3 linked regions of the Anolis sagrei genome follow. The protein of the gene in region 3 purifies or fractionates together with the protein of the main gene of each other region. This does not show direct contact. Links are inferred from orthologs where the notes say so. Each region holds a gene or a part of one and is shown on either strand. Other genes may lie near its edges.

Region 1 (7,165 bases), on a different chromosome or scaffold from region 3:
TCCCACAGGATCTGGGGGAGGCTGGGCTTCCTCTTGCAGATGGCTGATTCTTTCACACCAGAAGCAACTTGCAGTATATTTTCAAGTCACTTCTGACATGATAAAAAACAAATCACAAGGTTTGGGATGTTTTCCTCTCTAAAGAGCAATACTGTGATGGCTTATCACCTGGCTTGTATCCTCCCCAAGGGCTGGGGATGCTGGGTTTTTACACAGGATTGCCAGGCCGTTTTCCAGCAGCAGCCGGGCTTCTTCCGGGAGCAACTGCAGAGGAAGCCCCAGCCTCACGTTCTGGCGTGGCTTCCGAGCCAATGCCCCAAACAGCGTGCCAACTATGCGATGCTCCTCTCGGATGCGCCATGCATCAGCGTAATTCCACACCAAAGCCTTTCCCTCCAGGATGTGAATTCGGATCATGTCTGGGCCTGGATGCATGTCTCCTTGAGAAGAAGGGAGAGGATCAAAATACACAAAGCATCATACCACTAATTGTCTTTGAGGTGAGGGTGACAGTTGTCCCTCCACATTTGCAGATTTGATTGTTTGCATAATGATTAATACGAGTTGCGTTCGAGGACCTAGATCAGGCATGGGCAAACTTGGGCCCTCCAGGTGTTTTGGATTTCAACACCCACAATTCCTAACAGCCAGTAGGAATTGTGGGAGTTGAAGTCCAAAACACCTGGAGGGCCCAAGTTTGCCCATGCCTGATCTACACAGTAGAAGGAACATGGTTTGACACCACTTAAACTACCATAGCTCAATGTTATGGGATTATGGGATGTGTAGTTTGGGAAGGCACCAACACTATTGTGCAGAGAAGGCTAAAGATCTTGTAAAATTAATACTAGAACTTCCAAGATTCCATAACATTGATCCATGGCCATTAAAGTGGTGCCAAGCTGCCTCAATTCTACAGTACCTGAAGTCCAAAAAAGTCAAGAGATGTTGTGACTACAACTCCCATCATCCCCAGCTGGGTGTAATGAACCAACACAATGAAACTTAATAGTTAAAAACAAATACTTAAAATGAAATGAAACAACCCAAAAAGGCCAGGTGTGTTGTGACTACAACTCCCATCATCCCCAGCCAGTAGCTGATGGGTGCTTATTCCAATGCAATTTAACATACTATTTCATCACACTTAAAATCTGGTTTCTACCTCTTGCAGAATTCCAGGGTTTGTATTATAGTGAGGCTGTTAAAGGCTCCTCACTAAACTACAAACCCCAGAATTCTGCCGGATTTAAAGTGGATTCATTCTCTAGTGATGAGGTCTTATAGAATAGTTAAAAGCACGGAGAACCAAAAAAGCTAGATGTGTTGTGACTACAACTCCCATCATCCCCAGCCAGCAGCTGATGGGTGCTTAGTTCAATACAATTAAACACAGAATAGTTAAAAACACAGCACATAGAACCAAAAAAAAAAGAGGTGTTGTGACTACAACTCCCATCGTCCACAGCAGGCAGCTGATGGGTGCTGTGGTGCAATGCAATTAAACATAGAATAGTTAAAAACACAGCACATAGAACCAAAAAAGATAGATATGTTGTGACTACAACTGCCATCGTCCCCAGCTGGCAGCTGATGGGTGCTGTAGTGCAATGCAATTTAACACATAGCACATAGAACCAAAAAAGCTAGATGTGTTGTGACTACAACTCCCATTGTCCCCAGCCGGCAGCTGATGGGTGCTGTAGTGCAATGCAATTAAACACAGAACAGTTAAAACACTGCACATAGAACCAAAAAAGCTAGATGTGTTGTGACTACAACTCCCATAATCCCCAGCTGGCAGCTGATGGGTGCTGTGGTGCAACACAATTAAACATAGAACTACAACTACAACTCCCATTGTCCCCAGCCGGCAGCTGATGGGTGCTGTAGTGCAATGCAATTAAACACAGAACAGTTAAAACACAGCACACAGAACCAAAAAAGCTAGATGTGTTGTGACTACAACTCCCAATCGTCCCCAGCCGGCAGCTGATGGGTACTGTAGTGCAATGCAATTAAACATGAAATAGTTAAAAACACAGCATATAGAACCAAAAAAGATGTGTTGTGACTACAACTCCCATAATCCCCAGCTGGCAGCTGATGGGTGCTGTAGTGCAATGCAATTAAACACAGAATAGTTAAAAACACAGCACATAGAACCAAAAAAGTTAGATGTGTTGTGACTCCAACTCCCATCATCTCCAGCCAGCAGCTGATGGGTGCTTAGTGCAATACAATTAAACACAGAACAGTTATAACACAGCACATAGAACCAAAAAAGACAGATGTGTTGTGACTACAACTCCCATCATCCCCAGCCGGCAGCTGATGGGTGCTGTGGTGCAATATAATTAAACATAGAATAGTTAAAAACACAGCACATAGAACCGAAAAAGATAGATGTGTTGTGACTACAACTCCCATCGTCCACAGCCGGCAACTGATGGGTGCTGTGGTGCAATACAATTAAACATAGAATAGTTTAAAAAACGAAAACTTTAAAAAACACATTGAACCTAAAAAAGTCAGGTGTGTTGTGACTACAACTCCCATCATCCCAGACAGCAACGAATGGGTGCTATAGTCAAACATAATGAAGCATAGAATTGTTCCAAACGAGCACATGGAATTAAAAAAACCCAGAGGTGTTGTGACTACAAATCCCATCTTCCCCAGACATCAGCTAATGGGTACTGTAGTCCAACACAATGAAACAGAATTGTTCAAAAAAAAGTGCTTTAAAAGCACATGGAACAACAACAAAAAAGACAAGAAGTGTTGTGGCTACAAATCCCATCACCCCCAGCTAGCAGATGATGGGTGCTGTAGTCCCAACATATTAGGAGGGCATTATATAGGGGTTTCCAGCGAAACCCCGATTCTTGGGCTCTCCACACCCGCTCTTAAACCGGTTTCAATCCAGGTCGCCCTACCCTTTGAACTCCTCTTGCGTCCTTCCCGGGACTGGAGCGATGCGAGGCTGGACCAATGGGAGCCTTCAAGGCGGGCGATAGGGAAATTGCGGAGTGGATTCAGAAGAAAGGAGCGGAGGAGGAAAGGAAAGGAAGGCAGAGAAGGGGAGCATTTGCACCAAGCAGCAGCGACTGCAAAGGAGAGGAAACGGTGCGAGGCAGACAGGAAGAGGCAGGCGGTCTTTGCAAGGCTTGGGTCCATCCCAGGCATGGCTTTTGCAAGAGGCTAAAACCCTCCTGCACGCATTCGTGGGCTCCTGCCCGCTTTCTTCCACCCATTCCCACGATCGGGCAAGCTACACGTGTTTGGGAAGGCTTCTCCTGAAAAGGTGAGAGCACGGGTCGAGTGTAGGATCTCTTTGGGAAAAGGGGAGAGGGCAGAGAAAAGAGAGAGAGGAGGGATTTACAAGCAAAGGCCTAGGCTGGGAGATGGGAGCATCTACACTGTCAGGTTAACGCAGTTTGACACCGCTTTAAACTAACATGACTCAGTGCTATGGAAACTAAGGACTTATAGTTTGCTTTCTATGGAAACTAAGGACTTATAGTTTGCTCTCTATGGAAACTAAGGACTTATAGTTTGCTCTCTATGGAAACTAAGGACTTATAGTTTGCAAAGCATTGCAGAACTACAAGTCCAGTGATTCCATACCAATTAAACTGCATTCATTCTACAGTGCAGATGCCCCCAATGTTATGGAATCCTGTCAGTTGTAGTTTTACAAGGGCTTTTGCATTTTTCCCCCAAAATGTGCTTCTGCCTCTCCAAACTACAAATCCCATGATTACATAGTATTGAACCAAGCCAGTTTAAATGCTATCAAACTGTCCCAAACTAAAATCCCATAATTTCATAGTATTGACCCATGGCAGTTTAAATGCTATCAAATTGCCTTAATTTTACAGTGTGGATGCATCTCAACTGGGATTTTTTCCAGATTTGATCATATAATGTATAGTTACAATGTTAGGGCTTGGGGGAAAGTGATAGGAAGGCCCAGAGGCTGAGTGCAGTCCCAGTTTGAGCTGTCTGTTGGGGCACATTTCATCAGTTTGTCCCAATTGTGGCTTCTAGGAACTGCGGAACTCTCCGCTGCATGTCAGACCAACTTGAAGGCGGGGTCTCCGCTGCCCTCGATGACAGATTGAGTATCCCTTAACTGAAATGCTTGAGACCAGAATTATTTGGGATTTCAAATATTGGAATATTTGCAATACACACACACACACACGGTAGTGTTTCTCAACCTTCCTCATGATGTGGTGACCCCCAAACATAAAATTATTTTCGTTGCTACTTCATAACTCTAATTTTGCTACTGTTATGAATCGTAATGTAAATATCTGATATGCAGGATCAGGCCCATAGCCAGTTAATTTTGCTTAAACTGTTTTTGTATGTTTTGTATAATGTGATATAGGCATCAAATTGTGCCTTCGTTTGTAAGCCGCCCTGAGTCCCCCCTCGGGGGTGAGAAGGGCGGGGTAGAAGTAATTGAAATAAATAAATAAAAATAAATAAACTTTGACGTTTGGGAGTTGTAGTTGTTGAGATTTGTAGTTCACCTACAATCAAAGAGCATTCTGAACCCCACCAACAATAGAATTGGGCCAAACTTCCCACACAGAACCGCCATGACCAACAGAAAATACTGTGTTTTCTGATGGTCTTTGGTGACCTCTCTGACACCCCCTCACGACCACCCCAGGGGTCCCGACCCCCCAAGTTGAGAAACGCTGATATAGGGAGTTATATTTTATACGCAATATTGTAAACGATTTTATGCACAAAACAAAGTTTGTGTACATTGAAAGCAAAGCTGACATCTCCCCAATTTTTGAGTATTTTGTGTTTCCAAATATTGGTGAAGGGACACCCAACCTGTACTTATTTGAGCTAAGATCAGGGGAGAACAATAATATGCCTCATCATTGTTAAGCCATACTCTCAAGAGCTGTATGACAACATACCTTCTAAAGGCCACACAAAGACATTTGGCACACTTTTCATCCTCTTGTGGGACGACGGGGCTATTTTCTCTCTTTTTTTCAAGCCTCTTGAGGAATTTGGTGGATAGAGTTCCTTTTTTTCATCAGTCATTTGGGAATTCCCTATAAAAATCTTGCCCTGCTGTTAAAAATCTCAAAAATTACTAAACCAAGGATTATGTGGATTGAAAAAAAGACAACAATTTACTTTTCTGGATGCCTGAATGATGAATTTTAAGTTCTGATCCTTGATTTACTGTCACTGTTTACTAGTGTTATTCATAGTTGGGAAATACTTGGCAAAACTACGGTTAGGTGGATCTGTAATTGGTCAAGTGAACGAACCCAAAGAGTGCTCACCAATGCTTCCTCTTTATTTATTTACTAGCTTGGGGACCCGGCGTTGCCCGGGTTATTAGAGAAAGTGGGTAATGGCAGTTCTGTATGCCAAGTTTGGTCTTTATTGGTCTTTGGATAACGGCTGCATTATTTTCAGGAAGTGAGTGAAGGTACTTGAAGTCCCATCATCCATGGCCCATCCTCCTACAAATAGCAGCAGGATATAGGGCTCTGTGTCATGGGGGCTCTGTGTGCCAAGTTTGGTCTTTATCAGTCATTAGATGAGGGTGGCAGTGGTGTCAGTAAGTGAGTGAAGGTACTGCAAGTCCCATCACCCAAAGTCCATCCCCTTTCAAACTGCAGCAGGACGTAAAGTGGGTCATGGGGGCTCTGTGTGCTAAGTTTGGTCTTGATCAGTCATTGGATGAGGATCACAGCAGTCTCAGAACATGGGTGAAGGTACTGCAAGTCCCATAATCCATAGTCTCCCTCAAACATCACCAGAATGTTGAGTTGGCCATGGGGGCTCTCTGTGCCAAGTTTGGTCTTTCTTGGTATTTGGATGAGTGTCACTGTGGTTTCAGGAAGTGAGTGAAGGTACTGCAAGTCCCATCATCCATTGTCCGTCCTCCTCCAAACAGCACCAAGATGTAGAGTCGCTCATGGGGGCTCTGTGTGCCAAGTTTGGTCTTGATTGGTCATTACATGAGGGTTGCACCAGTCTTAGGAAGTGAGTGGAGGTACTTGAAGTCCCATCATCCATAGTCTGTTCTCTCCCAAACCTCACCAGAATGTTGAGTTGGCCATGGGGGCTCTGTGTGCCAAGTTTGGTCTTCATCAGTCATTGGATGAGGGTCTCAGTGGTTTCACTGAGTGAAGGTACTCTAAGTCCCATTGTCCATGGTGCATCATCCTCCAAACCGTACCAGGATGTAGAGTGCATCATGGAGACCCGGTGTGCCAAGTTTGGTCCTTATCGGAAATTGGATAATGTTTTGCAGTGGTCTCAGGAATTGAGCGAAGGTACTGCAAGTCCCAAAATCCATGCACGATCCACAGTCAAACCTCACCAGGGCATAAAGTGGGTCATGAGAGGTCTATGTGCCAAGTTTGGTGTTGTTCAATCATTGTTGAGGGTTGCAGCAGTCTCGGAAAGCGAGTAGAGGTACTTCAAGTCCCATCATCCATGGCATGCCCTACTCCAAACCGTATTAGGATGTAGAGTGGGTCATGGGGGCTCTGTGTGCGAAGTTTGGTTTTGTTTGGACATTAGATGAGGGTTGCAGCAGTCTTGGGAAGGGAGTGGAGGTACTTCAAGTCCCATCATCCATGGTCTCTCCTCCTCGAAAGTGCACCAGGATGTAGAGTGGGTCATGGGGACTCTGCTTGCCAAGTTTGGTCTTGATAAGTCATTGGCGAGGGTCACAGTGATCTCAGGAAGTGAGTGAAATGATTGCAAGTCCCATCATCCATTGCCAAATTCTTCCAAACCGCACCAGGATGTAGAGTGGGTCATGCAGGCTCTTAGTGTAAATTGTGGTTCTGTTCCATCATTGTTGGCAGTTGTAATGGTCTTAGGAAGGGAGTTTAGGTATTGTAAGTCCCATCGTCCATGGTGCATCCTCCTTCAAACTGCACCTGGATGTAGAGTGCGTCATGGAGACTCAGTGTGCCAAGTTTGGTATTTATCGGTAATTGGATGAGGGTTGCAGTGGTCTGAAGAATTGAACAATGGTACTGCAAGTCCCATAATCCACGGTCCATCGCCGGCCAAACCACACCAGGACGTACAGTGGGTCATGAGAGGTCTATGTGCGGAGTTTGGTCCTGATTAGTCATTGGATGAGGTTAACAGCGGT
Region 2 (7,994 bases), on a different chromosome or scaffold from region 3:
CCAACCAATTGTGTAGCCTGTTGTCGACCTTTGCAACCCGAAAGACAATTGCATCTGTCAAGTAGGAAAATTAGGTACCACCTTAAAGTGTGGGGAGGCTAAATTAACTAATTTATGAGGCCATAAAAAAGACTCCAGCAAAGCACTCCAGCAAAAAAAGCATGCGGGGAGTGCGGAAGTGCTTCATCAGTGTTGCAGATGGACGATGAAAGCGACAGCTCCCCTGGCGGCCAGAAAAAGTTAAATAGCCTCTGAGTATGTCTGTATATGTTGTATGTTAAAATTGGCATTGAATGTTTGCCATATATGTGTACACTGTAATCCGCCCTGAGTCCCCTGCGGGGTGAGAAGGGTGGAATATAAATGCTGTAAATAAATATAATAATAATAAATATTAAGATGTACCACCATCACTCACTTAGCTAAGGCAGGCAAGGGGCAAGGAAAATAGCAGGAACAAAGAATTTAGCTTTGTGGCTGGATAGTATCTTTTGCAAAGTTATAAATCTATCTCATGAGTGGTTTGGATTGCATCTCCCTCTCTTTGCTGCTTCCAACATTCTGTGCCCGGTTTTTTGGTTTTGTTACATGTACAATTGCAAATGAACAAACTAAAAAAAAATTAATTGAAAAAAAAAAGAAATAGGAAGATAGATGCTTTTGAACTGTGATGATGGAGGAAAGTGCTGAGAGTGCCTTGGACAGCGAGAAGATCCAACCAGTCCATCCTCCAGGAAATAAAGCCCGACTACTTATTGGAGGCATCTATCTTCCTTCGCTCAGCCTTCCCTAAGTTCCAGCTCTCACATCCGTAGGTGACTACAGGGAATACCATTGCTTTAACTATGCAGATCTTGGTTGCCAGTGTGATGTCTCTACTCTTCACTATTTTATTGAGATTGGACATTGCTCTCCTCCCAAGAAGTAAGTGTCTCTTGATTTCCTGGCTGCAGTCTGTGTCTGCAGTAATCTTTGCACCTAGAAATACAAAGTCTGTCACTGTCTCCACATTTTCTTCCTCTATTTCGCAGTTGTCAATCATTCTTGTTGCCATAATCTTGTTTTTTTTATGTTTAACTGCAACCCAGGAACTAATAAACAACATTAAAAAAATCCAGCCATTTCCCAAATATTTTGGAATATCATCCCCAATCAGAACTGCCCATCTCCATTTTTTTTTTTTTACTGGAAGGCAAGTTTAGCAATCTACCACTTATAGTCCAGGCTATGCACAGTCCAATCTTATGCATGTTTGCTCAGACATAAATACTGTCAAATCAAATAGTGCTTGACATCCAAGAAAGTGCATATTGGACTGTAGCTCTTAGTGTGCCAGGAAGATAATCTGGGTTTGTAGCCAAAGTACACCTGGGCTCTAAATACCTCTGGATAAATCAACCGAGGAGTCTCAAAATTGCAATAAAAATTAAACTTTCCCTCCTCCCAGTTCTCTATAATCATTAGATAGACAGATCTATCGGATAGAAAACAATTTCTAAGAGATAATTCTGACTACTGAGCCCAAATGTAGACAAAAACTCATCCAGTGGTCCCAAGGAAAGTTTTAGTGAAAATCATTGCAAGATTCTTTAAAGAGGAGTGATTCCAGTTAGACTGTAAAGTTATACACATTTAGGTAAAGATAAAGGTTTTTCCCCCAACATGAAGTCCAGTCATGTCTGACTGGGGTGTGGTGCTCATCTCCATTTCTAAGCCGAAGAGCTGGCATTGTCCATAGACACCTCCAAGCGCATGTGGCTGGCATGACATGGAGTGCCGTTACCTTCCCGCCGGACTGGTACCTATTGATCTACTCACATTTGCATGTTTTCGAACTGCTAGGTTGGCAGAAGCTGGGGCTGACAGTGGAAGCTCACACTGCTCAATATGCCCAAATATAAACACAGATGAAGTTTTAGGGAAATAGACCTTGACATTTGGGAGTTGTAGTTACTGGGATTTGTTGTTCACCTACAATCAAGGAGCATTCTGAACCCCACCAACGGCAGAATTGGGGCAAACTTCCCACACAGAACCCTCATGATCAACATAAAATACTGTGTTTTCTGGTGGTCTTTGGTGACCCTTCTGACACCCCCTCCGCATAGTTAAAGCAATGGTATTCCCCATAGTCACCTACGGATGTGAGAGCTGGACCATAGGGAAGGCTGAGCGAAGGAAGATAGATGCCTCCAATGAGCACAACCCACTCCAGGGGTCCCAAACTCCAGGTTGAGAAATGCTGCCTTAAGGCCATCCAGTCCAACTCCTTTCACCAGAGCAAGAAAACATAAAGCCCTCATGACAAAGAACCATCCAGCCATAGATATAAATATATTTGATTCACACACACACACGTTTATGACAGATATAGTACCATAGATTTGAAAGGGACCCCTAAAGAAGGAAAATGATATGTTGCATGTTCCAGAGTAGAAAACCAGACAATCTCCACATCAACACTGACAAAGATACAGCAAGAAATACTGTTTACCCACAAGCATTAAAAAATTACATATATTAGAAACCAATACTTTCTCATTACTTTATTTTCCAGATCACCAGACTGGGCCACAGCAACGCGTGGCAAGGGACCACTAGTACACTATAAATTATTGATTAGGGAATTTCACATTTGTTACACGTTCAATTTACAGACTTCATTCAGGAACGTTGCCACTGAGACATCAGTTAAAATCTTGGCAGTTTAAAAGCATAATTACTTTGTCTGGGTCGGTATGGCTTTTCATAGAATCTATAACTTGTAGTACCAAGCTAGATCTTGGTTCCTGGTAGAGTGGGCAGTGCAGAAGAACATGCAGGATGGAATCCAGCTGTCCTGTACTACTTGACAAGCTGGAATGTGTCCAGAGGAGGGCGACTAAAATGATCAAGGGTCTGGAGAACAAGCCCTATGAGGAGCGGCTTAAGGAGCTGGACATGTTCAGCCTGAAGAAGAGAAGACTGAGAGGAGATATGATAGCCATGTATAAATATGTGAGAGGAAGCCACAGGGAGGAGGGAGCAAGCTTGTTTTCTGCTTCCTTGGATATTAGGACAAGGAACAATGGCTTCAAACTACGGGAGAGGAGATTCCATCTGAACATGAGGTGTTCCAGCGAGTGTCTCTGTAGATCTTAGAAAACTATTTCTTGATTTAAGTCGTTGACGTGCTGGCTGGTACCCAAACGGGATGAGCTGGAGATGTCACTGCCTTGGTCCTTTCACTATTGGCTGCCACTTCCCGACGGATGTCAGGTGGTGCGATACTGGCTAGACAGTGTAATTTCTCCAGTGGTGTAGGGCGCAGACACCCCGTAATAATGCGGCATGTCTCATTAAGAGCCACATCCACTGTTTTAGTGTGGTGAGATGTGTTCCACACTGGGCATGCAAACTCAGCAGCAGAGTAGCACAGCGCAAGGGCAGATGTCTTCACTGTGTCTGGTTGTGATCCCCAGGTTGTGCCAGTCAGCTTTCGTATGATATTGTTTCTAGCACCCACTTTTTGCTTGATGTTCAGGCAGTGCTTCTTGTAGGTCAGAGCACGGTCCAGAGTGACTCCCAGGTATTTGGCTGCGCTGCAATGCTCCAGTGGGATTCCTTCCCAGGTGAGCTCGGGATGCTTGTCTGTTCTTGAGATGAAAGGCACATGTCTGTGTTTTAGATGGGTTGGGGATCAGCTGGTTTTCCCTGTAATAGGCAGTAAGAGCATCTAGAGCTTCGGAAAGCTTCTGTTCTACCACCTTGATTAGCATACAATGGGCTGACTGTTCCTGGAGCAAACTCTTCTTGAAAGGTAATTAGATGTCCCTGCCTGTTTCCTCTCTGCTGTTTTTGCTGTTGCAATTTTAGAATTTTTTAATACTGGTAGCCAGATTTTGTTCATTTTCATGGTTTCCTCCTTTCTGTTGAAATTGTCCACATGTTTGTGTATTTCAATGGCTTCTCTGTGTAGTCTGACATGGTGGTTGTGAGAGTGGTCCAGCATTTTTGTGTTCTCAAATAAAATGCTGTATCCAGGTTTCAACAGAAAGGAGGAAACCATGAAAATGAACAAGATCTGGCTACCAGTATTAAAAAATTCTAAAATTGCAACAGCAAAAACAGCAGAGAGGAAACAGGCAGGAACATCTAATTACCTTTCAAGAAGAGTTTGCTCCAGGCACAGTCAGCCCATTGTATGCTAATCAAGGTGGTCAGTTGAAATATTCACACCTAGCCCAACTGACAAAAGTCCTTTGTCTCACCCTGGTCATTCCACAGATATATAAACCCCTTCCCAGTTCCAACAGACCTCACTACCTCTGAGGATGCTTGCCATAGATGCAGGCGAAACGTCAGGAGAGATGCCTCTAGAACATGGCCATATAGCCCGAAAAAACCCACAAGAACCTATAGATGAAACTCTCTGTCCCTTCTGGCAGTGGCTGGTCATTTGTGTAGATGTTGAGGAACCCCTAAAGAAGGACAATGATATGTTACATGTTACAGAGTAGGCAAATCACACAATCTCCACATCAACAGTGACAAAGAAACAAGAAGAAATACTGTTTAGTTTACTCACAAGCAGAGAGACATTACATATATTAGAAACCAACACTTTCTCATTACTTTATTTTCCAGATCACCAGACCGGGCCACAGCAATGCGTGGCAGGGGACAGCTAGTGCATAATAAAAACGGCTTCCCCCTCAATTTTGATTAGGAAATACTCAGAGGGAGGCTGCATATGTTATAGTTTTGCTGTTCCGGGGACGCACCACTTCTAATGGCAATGACCTGCCCCCTCGGTGCTTGAAAAAGTCCTTCAAAGCCTGGAAGTAAGAGCCCGAGAGGTGAAATCGGAACCTTAGAGCCCGTGCGCATGTTCCGCGGGGGCTTAGAATGTCGAGGCACCGCCGGAGCGAAGCCGCGACACACCCACTTCGAGCATGGAAGCGCCAGGGAGCAGCTGCGGGCACGGCGGCAGCGGGGACGAGGCTCCCCCGGCGCGAGGCTTCGGCTTCCCTGGTCTGGCGAAGCAGGAGGAAGGAGAGGAGCAGGGAGCCGCGGCGCCTGCGCAGTGGGCACCGGGAGGGAGCTGGCTAGAAGTGCATCCTGCGGTGAGCAAGGATAGGGCGGGATGAAACCGTTTATGACTATGCGTGTGGATGGCCCGATTTCATTCCAATATCAGAGGGGTGGGATCATGTCATGGAATCTCATTTGATGCCTGCTCCACCAACATTAGCATCTGCTTTCCCGTGCTCAATGGCTGGAGGCAATTTTGTCCCTTTGGAAGGGCCCCATCAACACTGCCATCTAATGCAGTTTGGAATTGCATTATATGAGTAGTGCAGACTCAGGCTGGATCTACACTGACATAATTCAGTTTCCGAATCCAGAGCTGGCATATACACTTCCATATAATCCACATTATCTGCCTTGAACCGAATTATATAAGTCTACACTGCCATATAATCAAGTTCAAAGCATGTAATATGGATTTTATAATGTACTAGCCGTCCTCTGCCATGCATTGCTGTGGCCCACATGGGGGTTCTCTGTGGGAAGGCTGGCCCAATTCTATCCTTGGTGGGGTTCAGAATGGTCTGTGATTGTAGGTGAACTATAAATCCCTGCAACTACAACTCCCAAATGCCAAGATTCTATTTTCCCCAAACTCCAGCAGTGTTCACACTTGGGCATATTGAGTATTCGTGTAGTCCAGATCCATCATTGTTTGAGTCCACAGTGATCTCTGGATGTAGGTGAACTACAACTCCAAAACCAAAGGACACCCTTCCAGTATTTTCTGTTGGTCATGGGAGTCCTGTGTGCCAAGTTTGGTTCAAGTCCATCGTTGGTGAGGTTCAGAATGCTCTTTGATTGTAGGTGAACTATAAATCCCAGCAACTACAACTCCCAAATGACAAAATCAATTTTTTTGAGTGAAGGACATACATTGGGTTGTTAGGTGTATGCTGTCCAAATTTGGTGTCAATTTGTCCAGTGGTTTTTGAGTTCTGTGAATACCACAAACTAACATTACATTTTTATTTATATAGACTAGCCGTCCCCTGCCACACGCTGCTGTGGCCGTCATGGGGATTCTGTGTAGGAGATTTGGCCCAATTCTATTGTTGGTGGGGTTCTGAATTCTCTGTGATTGTAGGTGAACTATAAATCCCAGCAAGTACAACTCCCAAATGTCAAGGTCTATTTTCCCCAAACGCCACCAGAGTTCACATGTGGGCATATTGAGTATTCGTGCCAACTTTGGTCCAGATCTATCATTGGATCTCTGGATGTAGGTGAACTACAACTCCAAAACCAAAGGACACTGCCCACCAAACCCTTTCAGTATTTTCTGTTGGTCATGGGAGAACTGTGTGCCAAGTTTAGTTCAATTCCATTGTTGGTGGAGTTCAGAATGCTCTTTGATTGTAGGTGAACTATAAATCCCAGCAACTACATCTCCCAAATGACAAAATCATTTTTTTTGTGTGAAGGACATACATTGGGTTGTTAGGTGTCTTGTGTCCAAATTTGGCGGCAATTCGTTCAGTGGTTTTTGAGTTCTGTTAATCCCACAAATGAACATTACATTTTTATTTATATAGATGTAGAATGAAACAGGTACTTCTGGTTGGGAATAGTATACTGCTAGGACTTTGGTGGCATCTAGTACAGCCTTGTATTCTTATCAAAGATACTTAGTGTATTGTCGAAGGCTTTCATGGCTGGAATCACTGGGTTGCTGTGGTTTTTTGTGTGTCAGACTACACAGAGAAGCCATTGAAATCATAGAATCCTAGAGTTGGAAGAGACCTCATGGGCCATCCAGTCCAACTCCCTGCCACGAAGCAGGAAAATTGCATTCTAAGCACCCCGACAGATGGCCTTTAGCCTCTGTTTAAAAGTCTCCAAAGAAGGAGCCTCCACCACACTCCGGGGCAGAGAGTTCCACTGCTGAACGGCTCTCACAGTCAGGAAGTTCTTCCTCATGTACAGGTGGAATCTCCTTTCTTGTAGTTTGAAGCCATTGTTCCGCGTCCTAGTCTCCAGGGAAGCAGAAAACAAGCTTGCTCCCTCCTCCCTGTGACTTCCTCTCACATATTTATACATGGCTATCATATCTCCTCTCAGCCTTCTCTTCTTCAGGCTAAACATGCCCAGCTCCTTAAGCTGCTCCTCATAGGGCTTGTTCTCCAGACCCTTGATCATTTTAGTCACCCTCTTTTGGACACATTCCAGCTTGTCAACATCTCTCTTCAATTGCAGTGCCCAGAATTGGACACACTATTCCAGGTGTGGACTAACCAAAGCAGAATAGAGGGGTAGCATTACTTCCCTAGATCTAGACACTATGCTCCTATTGATGCAGGCCAAAATCCCATTGGCTTTTTTTGCTGCCACATCACATTGTTGGCTCATGTTTAACTTGTTGTCCACGAGGACTCCAAGATCTTTTTCACACATACTGCTCTCGAGCGAGGCATTGTCCCCCATTCTGTATCTTTGCATTTCGTTTTTCCTGCCAAAGTGGAGTATCTTGCATTTGTCCCTGTTGAACTTCATTTTGTTAGTTTTAGCCCATCTCTCTAATCTGTCAAGATCGTTTTGAATCCTGCTCCTGTCCTCTGGAGTATTGGCTCTCCCTCTCAATTTGGTGTCGTCTACAAATTTGATGATCATGCCTTCTAGCCCTTCGTCTAAGTCATTAATAAAGATGTTGAACAGGACCGGGCCCAGGACGGAACCCTGCGGCAATCCACTTGTCACTTCTTTCCAAGATGAAGAGGAAGCATTGGTGAGAATCACCCTCTGGGTTCGTCCACTTAACCAATTACAGATCCACCTCACCATACTTTTGCCTAGCCCACATTGGACTAGTTTCCTTGCCAGAAGGTCATGGGGGACCTTGTCGAAGGCCTTACTGAAAACCAGGTACGCTACATGCCCCCAGACAGCAACAGCCAATCTTTGCAGCAGCAAGGCTACTCAATACT
Region 3 (7,917 bases):
ATACAATGGGACTTGAGCACCCACAGTATTTTGCAATCCCAAGGGGCCCCTAGAATCAAACCTCAGCAGATTCCAAGGGCAAATCTGACTCTTCTGCAGCAAATAGACCCTCCTTTCACAGTAATGCTTCCTTTTTATCCACCATGGCTGCCGATTCTGGGATTTATAGTTTGGTGAGGCAATACATTGCTCTGGCAAAGGGTGCATCTACGCACTATAAAATTAGTGAAGTTTGACACTACTTTAGCATGGCTCAATGCTATGGAATAATGGGATTTGCAGTTTGGTGAGGCAATAGCTCCCTTTGGCAGAGGAGGCTAAAGGACTTGTAAAACACCAACTTCTAAGATTCCACAATATTGAACAAAGCAGCTAAAGTGTTGTCAAACGGCAGTAAGTCAAGTGTGGATGAGCTCTTAGAGCAGGGTCACCTCCAAGGTCACTTACCCAGCCCTCACCCTAAACTTTAGACTTAGAGTCACCCTAAGCCTAGTGGTGGCGCTGTGGCACCATGAGATGCAGAGCCAACCTTATGAAATGGGGCCACAAAGTGGAGTCCACGACATGCGGATTTTGAACTTTCCCTTAGCCCTATCCAGAAACTATTGCACAAACTCTTAGCCCTCTGAGTTTAGTATTTTTACTGTTCAGTCTACGGATTGCTTTTATGATGTTGTGTTGTGTTATTGTGATGTGTTTATTTTTGATATTTTGAATTTATTTTTTTTATTTTACTTTATTGCACTGTGTTTTAATCTGAGTTTTTTCGGGCTTGATCCTTTGTAAGCCGCCCCGAGTCCCTTCGGGAAGATGGAGACAGGGTATAAAAATAAAGCTATTATATTATTATTATTATTATTATTATTATTAACTTGACTTTCTCATCAGCCAATAGCAGGCCTACACTTCCCATTATTTTGCACTAGGATAAAGGTAATGGTTTTCCCCTGACATTAAATCCAGCTGTGTCCGACTCTGGGGGATGGTGCACATCTCCATTTCTAAGTCGAAGAGCCTGCGTTGTCCGTAGACACCTCCAAGGTCATGTGGCCAGCATGACTTCATGGAGCACTGTTACCTTCCTGCAGTGCAGTACCTATTGATCTACTCACATTTGCATGTTTTCAAACTGCTCAGTTGAACTGCTGGTAAGCTGATGTTGGTTAAAATTGTTCATTTTAAAATATTGTTATCTTTTATGTTATTTTGCAGTAGGCTAAAGGTAAAAGTTTTCCCTTGACATTAAGTCCAGTCATGTCCGCTCTGGGGTGTGGTGCTCATCTCTATTTCTAAGTCGAAGAGTCAATGTTGTCTGTAGATACCTCCAAGATCATGTGGCCAGCATGACTTCATGGAGCGCTGTTACCTTCCTGCAGAGTAGTACCTATTGATTTACTCACATTTGCATGCTTTTGAACTGCTAGGTTGGCAGAAGCTGGGGCTAACAGCGGGAGCTCACACCACTCTGAATTCGCACCTGCAATCTTTCGGTCAGCAAGTTCAGCAGCTCAGCGCTTTAACCCCCTGCACCACTGGGGGCTCCTATTTTGCACTACAAATAAGATATTGACTACTGCAACGCTCTCTACGTGGGGCTGCCCTTGAAGACGGCCCGGAAGCTCCAGCTAGTCCAGCGCGCGGCAGCCATGTTACTAACAGGAGCAGGACGCAGGGAGCACACAACGCCCTTGTTGTCCCAGCTCCACTGGCTGCCGATCTGCTACCGGGCCCAATTCAAGGTGCTGGTGTTGGCCTACAAAGCCCTAAACGGTTCCGGCCCAAAATACCTATCTGACCGCATCTCGGCCTATGAGCCCACGAGGACCTTGAGATCGTCTGGGGAGGCCCTTCTCTCGATCCCGCCTGCCTCACAGGCATGCCTGGCGGGGACGAGGGATAGAGACTTCTCGGTGGTGGCCCCCCGGCTGTGGAACACCCTCCCTGTAGACATCAGACAGGCGCCCTCCCTTATGACATTCCGCAAGAGCCTAAAGACGTGGTTGTTTGAGAAGGCGTTTGACTAAGTGCTACAGCAAATTGGCAATGATGAGTGGAACGGAATATGGATAACGAGATTGGATTGTGATTCTATGATGAGACGTCGCGAATGATTTAGTGTAATGGTATTATTAATAGTGATGTTGTTATTGTTGTTTATGATATTGCTTTCATTGTAAATTGTCTTTTTATATGTTGTACACCGCCGTGAGTCGCCCTAGGGCTGAGAACGGCGGTCAACAAATGCAGTAAATAAATAAATAAATATTTGCAATGTGCACTGGAATTCGTTCATGTTTTTGAATTACTCCAAAATGCATCGAGTGGCTGAGATAGTGATACCTTCCCTTTCAGTGGGCGCAAAGTTAGTTTCATGGACAAAATCATTAACAAATAGTGTGCATAAAATTACCTCCAGAGAATGTGAATAAGTTATATGTGAAATATTAATTTTGTGTTTAGAATTGGGTCCAATTTCCAAGATTGTGCACCTTTATGCAAATACAGGTATTCTAAAATCTGGAGGAAGAAAAGCTTAAATCCCAGCCCAAAATATTGAGGTGAGAGGGACACTCCACCTGCCCTGTGAAAGAGAACCCAAAAGCTCAAAACACCAGGGAAGTCCTGCCCTCTTCCTGATGCCCTTTTCGCCCAAGTACAGCATCCCAAGGGTGAATCTACACTGCAGTATTAACGCAGTTTGACACTGATTCAATGCTATGGAATCCTGGGAGTGGTAGCTTCACAAGCTCTTCAGTCTCCTCTGCCAAAGAGAGATGGTGCCTCACTAAACTACCAATCCCAGGATCCCATAGCACTGAGGCAGGGCAGTTAAAGTGGGATCAAACTGCACTCATTCTGCAGTACAGATGCGCTTCATCCCTCTCTCTGGCCTTTTCCCACGAATGGCTTCCCGCCTCCCTTGCTTCTGGCACTGACCTCACTCCAGGCAGCGGAAACGAGGCCGGACTCCCCCGCCTGCCCCTCCCCTCCGCGAGGGAAACCGGAAGAAGGGCAGCCCCGGCTCCGCGGCGGCGACGGAAGAAGGAAGCGCTTCTGGTTTCCTTAAACAGATCAGAATGGAGTCGGTCTCTCTCTGACGTCATTGCCTCCCGCGCATGCTCCGTCTCCGGGGTAAAAAATAGCAGGTGCTTTGTCAACGCTGTGGTTGTCAGCCTTTGGACTCCAATTCCCAGAATTCCTGAGAGTTAGCCAGTCAAACTGGGGCTTCTGGGAGTTGAAGTCCCAAGAACCTGGTTGGAAACCCCTGCTAGTGCAAAGCGATTTGTGGTCTTGCATTTATCCGGGAGGAAGGCTGCATCTATTCTGTAGATGCACTTTGATACCACTTTAACTTCCATGGCTCAATGCTTTGGGATTCTGGGAGTTGTAGTTTTACAAGGCTACTGCTACTATTAATAATAATGATAATAAGTTTCATTTGTTACCTGTCTCTCATGGCTCCAAGTGGGGCGTAAACATAGTTGAAATATATAAACAGAACAAAGGATGATAAAAATATGTATATTAAAAAGAACAGAGATTAAAACACCAATGCTAATAAAATGTACGGTCTCTTGGTGGCACAGTAGGTTAAACCACTGAGCTGCTGAACTTGCTGACCGAAAAATTGGTGGTTCAAATCTGGGGAGTGGGGTGAGCTCCCACTGTTAGCCACAGCTTCTGCCAACCTAGCAGTTCAAAAACATGCAAATGTGAATAGATCAATAGGTACCGTCTTGGCGGGAAGGTAATAGCGCTCCATGCAGTCATGCCGGCCACATGACCTTGGAGGTGTCAACGGACCATGCTGGTTCTTCGGCTTTGAAATGGAGATGAACATCAACCCCCAGAGTCAGACACAACTAGACATAATATCAAGGGGAAACCTTTACCTTTCCTTTACTAATAATACAGGGTGAGGCAGCATAACTTCCATTTTTAAAATGCACGCCATTCAGTCGGTTGAAGACGTAGCAGAGTGCTAGTGGTCTCGTTTGAGAGGTGGGAGTATAAAGTTTTGTCGTGACACAGTTCAGTCGCCATCATGCGTTGGAGCAGTGAAACAGTAGAACTTTTGCCGTTGAGGCCTACTTTTCGAGCGGATTTGGAGTGGTCGGCCCGCTCTCCAGATTTGGCCCCTTGTGATTTTTTCTATGGGGTTTTTTGAAATCCTGTGTTTATGTGACCTGTCCAAGGACCCTACAAGATTTGAAGACCAACATCCAGGAAGAAATTGCCAACATAACGCCTGCTATGCTGGCAAGAGTCACGACAAAGGCCAGAAATCAGTTTACTCAGTGTACGGAGAATGGGGGACGTCACCAACCTACTTATAACTGTTCCTTATTATTCTAATTCTATACCATCAAGAATCAAACTGCACCTTCATACCTTGTTTTGATTCACCTTGATTGTTCAGTAAACCTAATTGGTTCAATTTAGTCTTGTCTCTAGAGTTTTATTTTGGGGAAATTAAAGTAAATACAGGGCATACCGATGGTCACTGGGAAAATAGCCGGACACATATAGTTTTCTCATCAAACCTTCCCGGTGTGCCATCATACTACGTAAAACAAAACTTTAGGTATGTGCCTACATTATAATTTTTTTCTGATTCATACAATGAGTTCTATTAAGTTTTGAAAAAAGGAAGTTATGCTGCTTCACCCTGTAAAATGTAAATTTAAAATCAATAGTTTATTTCTTTTTCTTTTGGTCCTTCATGAAAAAAGGTCTCCCTGGCATTTGACTTTCACATTGACGTTTGAGTTTCCTGTCCTTTCGACCTGCAAAAAGGCATTCTCATCCTGGGAGAAAGGGGGGATATAAATCCAACAAATAAATTAAAGTACTGTTGTTCTCATTTTAATCTCTCACACAGACCCTTCCCCCCATAATAAACCATATCTAACATTCCCAATGAATGGGAGTAAAAAAATATCTAATATTTAAAAAGGTCTTCATCTACCATAAAGACAACAAGATCATTCCTATTGCACTTTGTTGTGCTTCCGTAGTTTGGTTTCAGTTTCAAACACTTAAGAGCAGAGCTTTCCAAACTTTTCATGCTAATGACACACTTTTTAGACAGTCACAATTTTGCAACACAGTAAACTAAGATTTACTAGCAAACCGGAGATTAAATCAACCCCTTATAAGAGATTCGGACACATACATAAATGGTAACAATGAAATATATGGGGACACAACATATCTTGTGCAAAATATTCATTGATATTCATAAAAAGATGATTTATTGCTGATTTTACATAGACTTGTTACTTTTACCTGACACACCTACAAGCTGCAGTCAACACAATGAACATCTCGTGACATGCAGTTTGGAAAGCTCAGACTTAGAGGGTTTCTACACCTTAGAGTTATAGCAGTTTGATCTCAGGTTAATTGATATAACAACCCTGACGATCAATGGGGTGGCATCCTATGGCATACTGAGGCCCTTTTTACATTGCCATATAATCCAGATCATCAAAGCAGAAAATCCACATTATCTTCTTTTAGCTGGATTATATGAGTCTACATTGCCATATAATCCAGTTCAAAGCACAAAATCTTGATTTTATATGGCAGTGTAGAAGGGGCCTGAGATTTGCAGGTTGATGATATACAGGCCAATCCTCATAACTGTGGGACTCGTATCTACAGTTTTATTTATCTTGATTTCACCAAGGCCTTCAACAGGTTTCCCCTCGTTATTCTAGCAAAGAAACTGGTAAAATGTGGGCTAGACAACATCTTTATCAATTACCTGGTTGATGGAATAGAGAGATGTCTTTCAAATTTGCAGATGACACCACATTAGAAGGGACTTTTGTCACATATGTCTCTGAAATATGGGCTCTTCCACACAGCCCAATATCCCAGAATATCAAGGCAGAAAATCCCACTTTAACTTAGTGTGGACTTGAATAACCCAGCTCAAAGCAGATACTGTGGGATTTTCTGCCTTGATATTCTGGGATGAGGGGCTGTGTGGAAGTCCCATAGTCATTGTGTTGCTTTTGCCCTTTCTTTTTGGCATTACTCACCACAGCATCATGTCATCGTGCTGCATAGACCAGGAGGGCACCTGTTTCCCAGGTATTTTATGGTCAAAGGGTCTGATATCTCATATTGCAGCACAACTCTACTGCTCTTCATGCATGACATTTTAAAACTATGAGATGGAAGCTTTAAAAAAAATCCCCTGAGATGATGTAACAACCCTTTAAAAAGCAGTAGGAATATCTACAATTTTCAATTCATATTTCTGCAAAACTGAAAAAGCAATAATGTTGAAATAAACTATCCTCAAAAGTGCTACTTTTTATGCAAAAGCAAAGGCTTTCAGAAAAGGATATTTCCAGGTTTTTTTTAAAGCCACATCCCTTTTAAACACTAATGTTTAGTGCAGGAAGGAAGTGAGAATATGGCTATTACAACCTTCTTAACTCTGCCTAAAATAAAAACTTTCCCCACCCATCTGTAACAATGAAGTCATTTTAGTTACTGTATATGCAGCCATTTAAAGAGACTTGTGAGTGCCGGAGACTGTCCTTTATTGCCCTTAGAACCATTAACTGCCAATTTGTTGCTGGAAATAAATGTGTGTCAACAAGTTCAGTTTCAGTTGACAGCAGTTCGTCAGCTTCTGGACTCAGAGTTTGTTTCCTTCCAGAGTGATAAAAACCATTGTCAAGGTTAATCCTTTGTCAGCCCTGCTGCAGCAAGGGCAATGCCTGGGAGCATAAATTATGAACTTCCTCCTTTGGGTCGCATTTGACAAAAGGGCTTGGAAATGGTTGCAGTTAGACCCACCTGGGATGCCACAGTGGCATGGCAGCACGAATGTGAAAGGCATGAAAGGACTTTCTACCCAAGGCAATTCTCCTTTTCCTTTCCGCGAACTTGTCATTCACTGACAGCCAAATACCTTGCAGATATGTATCAATCCATCAATTACCACTGTCCTAGCTTTATATGTCATCAACAGTATTCATGGCTAACATACAACTAAGGCTCTATATCGGGCATGGGCAAACTTTGGACCTCCAGGTGTTTTGGACTTCAGTTCCCACAATTCCTAACAGCCTACCAGTTGAAGTCCAAAACATGGAGGGCCAAAGTTTGCCCATAGCTGCTCTATATTGATTTATATAGATTGTCCTTAATCAAGTCCAGTTGCCCTGCCACATTTTCAGTTTTTATTTTTGAGGATTTCTGGATGCTATCATAAAGGCTCCTCCCACAGAGATGTATAAAATCCACATCGAGCTGGATTATATAGCAGTGTGGACTCAGATAACCCTGCCTTGATATTCTGGGGGCCCTTCCACACAACCCTATATCCCAGAATATCAAGGCAGAAAATCCCACAATATCTGCTTTGAACTGGGTTATATTAGGGCCCGTCCAGATAGGATCTTTATTGTGGTATCTACCGCAATAAAGGAGGAGCTGTCCAGACAATGTTCTGGACAGTCCAGAATTAATTCGCTACAATTAATTCGCTACAATCCAGACACCATTCCCACAATTTACTGGGCTAAATAAACCTGGTAAACTGTGGCAATACCCACCCCTCCCCCCAAACCCCCAGACCCTTTTGAAAAGGTAAAAAAACTTACCTGTCCTGCAATATACCCTCGGAGAAGCTCTCCCGGTGTGTACAAATGATGCGCCGGGGGGGGGGGGGGGAGGAGGGAAAATCGCTCCCCACTCTCCTGGCACATCATTTGTACGTGCCGGGAGAGCTATTCCGAGGGTATATTGCAGGACGGGTAAGTTTTTCTTACCTTTCAAAGGAGCCTGGAGGCTTGGGGGGAGGTGGGTAGGTCCATGCAGGAGTTTACTAGTCAAATGCCTCCAGACATTCTCCTGGGCTAATCCTGAGAGAACATCTAGATACCCACCCCA

What was found.
Region 1: the proteins of TSEN2 (region 3) and TSEN34 purify together in Homo sapiens (affinity purification with mass spectrometry; 3 studies listed by BioGRID and IntAct, counting the BioPlex papers as one, with this or other methods). This does not show direct contact. The link is inferred for Anolis sagrei from reciprocal best matches to the Homo sapiens genes TSEN2 and TSEN34.
Region 2: the proteins of TSEN2 (region 3) and TSEN15 purify together in Homo sapiens (affinity purification with mass spectrometry; 4 studies listed by BioGRID and IntAct, counting the BioPlex papers as one, with this or other methods). This does not show direct contact. The link is inferred for Anolis sagrei from reciprocal best matches to the Homo sapiens genes TSEN2 and TSEN15.

Annotation. Positions count from the first base shown.
Region 1 is NC_090026.1:19,085,240-19,092,404, reverse strand, and holds the start of TSEN34 (tRNA-splicing endonuclease subunit Sen34), read right to left. Parts: upstream 3,190-7,165; coding exon 2,940-3,189; intron 441-2,939; coding exon 169-440; intron 1-168. UniProt on the Homo sapiens protein: Constitutes one of the two catalytic subunit of the tRNA-splicing endonuclease complex, a complex responsible for identification and cleavage of the splice sites in pre-tRNA. It cleaves pre-tRNA at the 5'- and 3'-splice sites to release the intron.
Region 2 is NC_090024.1:122,177,951-122,185,944, reverse strand, and holds the start of TSEN15 (tRNA-splicing endonuclease subunit Sen15), read left to right. Parts: upstream 1-4,896; 5' UTR 4,897-4,934; coding exon 4,935-5,105; intron 5,106-7,994. UniProt on the Homo sapiens protein: Non-catalytic subunit of the tRNA-splicing endonuclease complex, a complex responsible for identification and cleavage of the splice sites in pre-tRNA. It cleaves pre-tRNA at the 5' and 3' splice sites to release the intron.
Region 3 is NC_090022.1:64,428,193-64,436,109, forward strand, and holds the start of TSEN2 (tRNA-splicing endonuclease subunit Sen2), read right to left. Parts: upstream 3,084-7,917; 5' UTR 2,938-3,083; intron 1-2,937.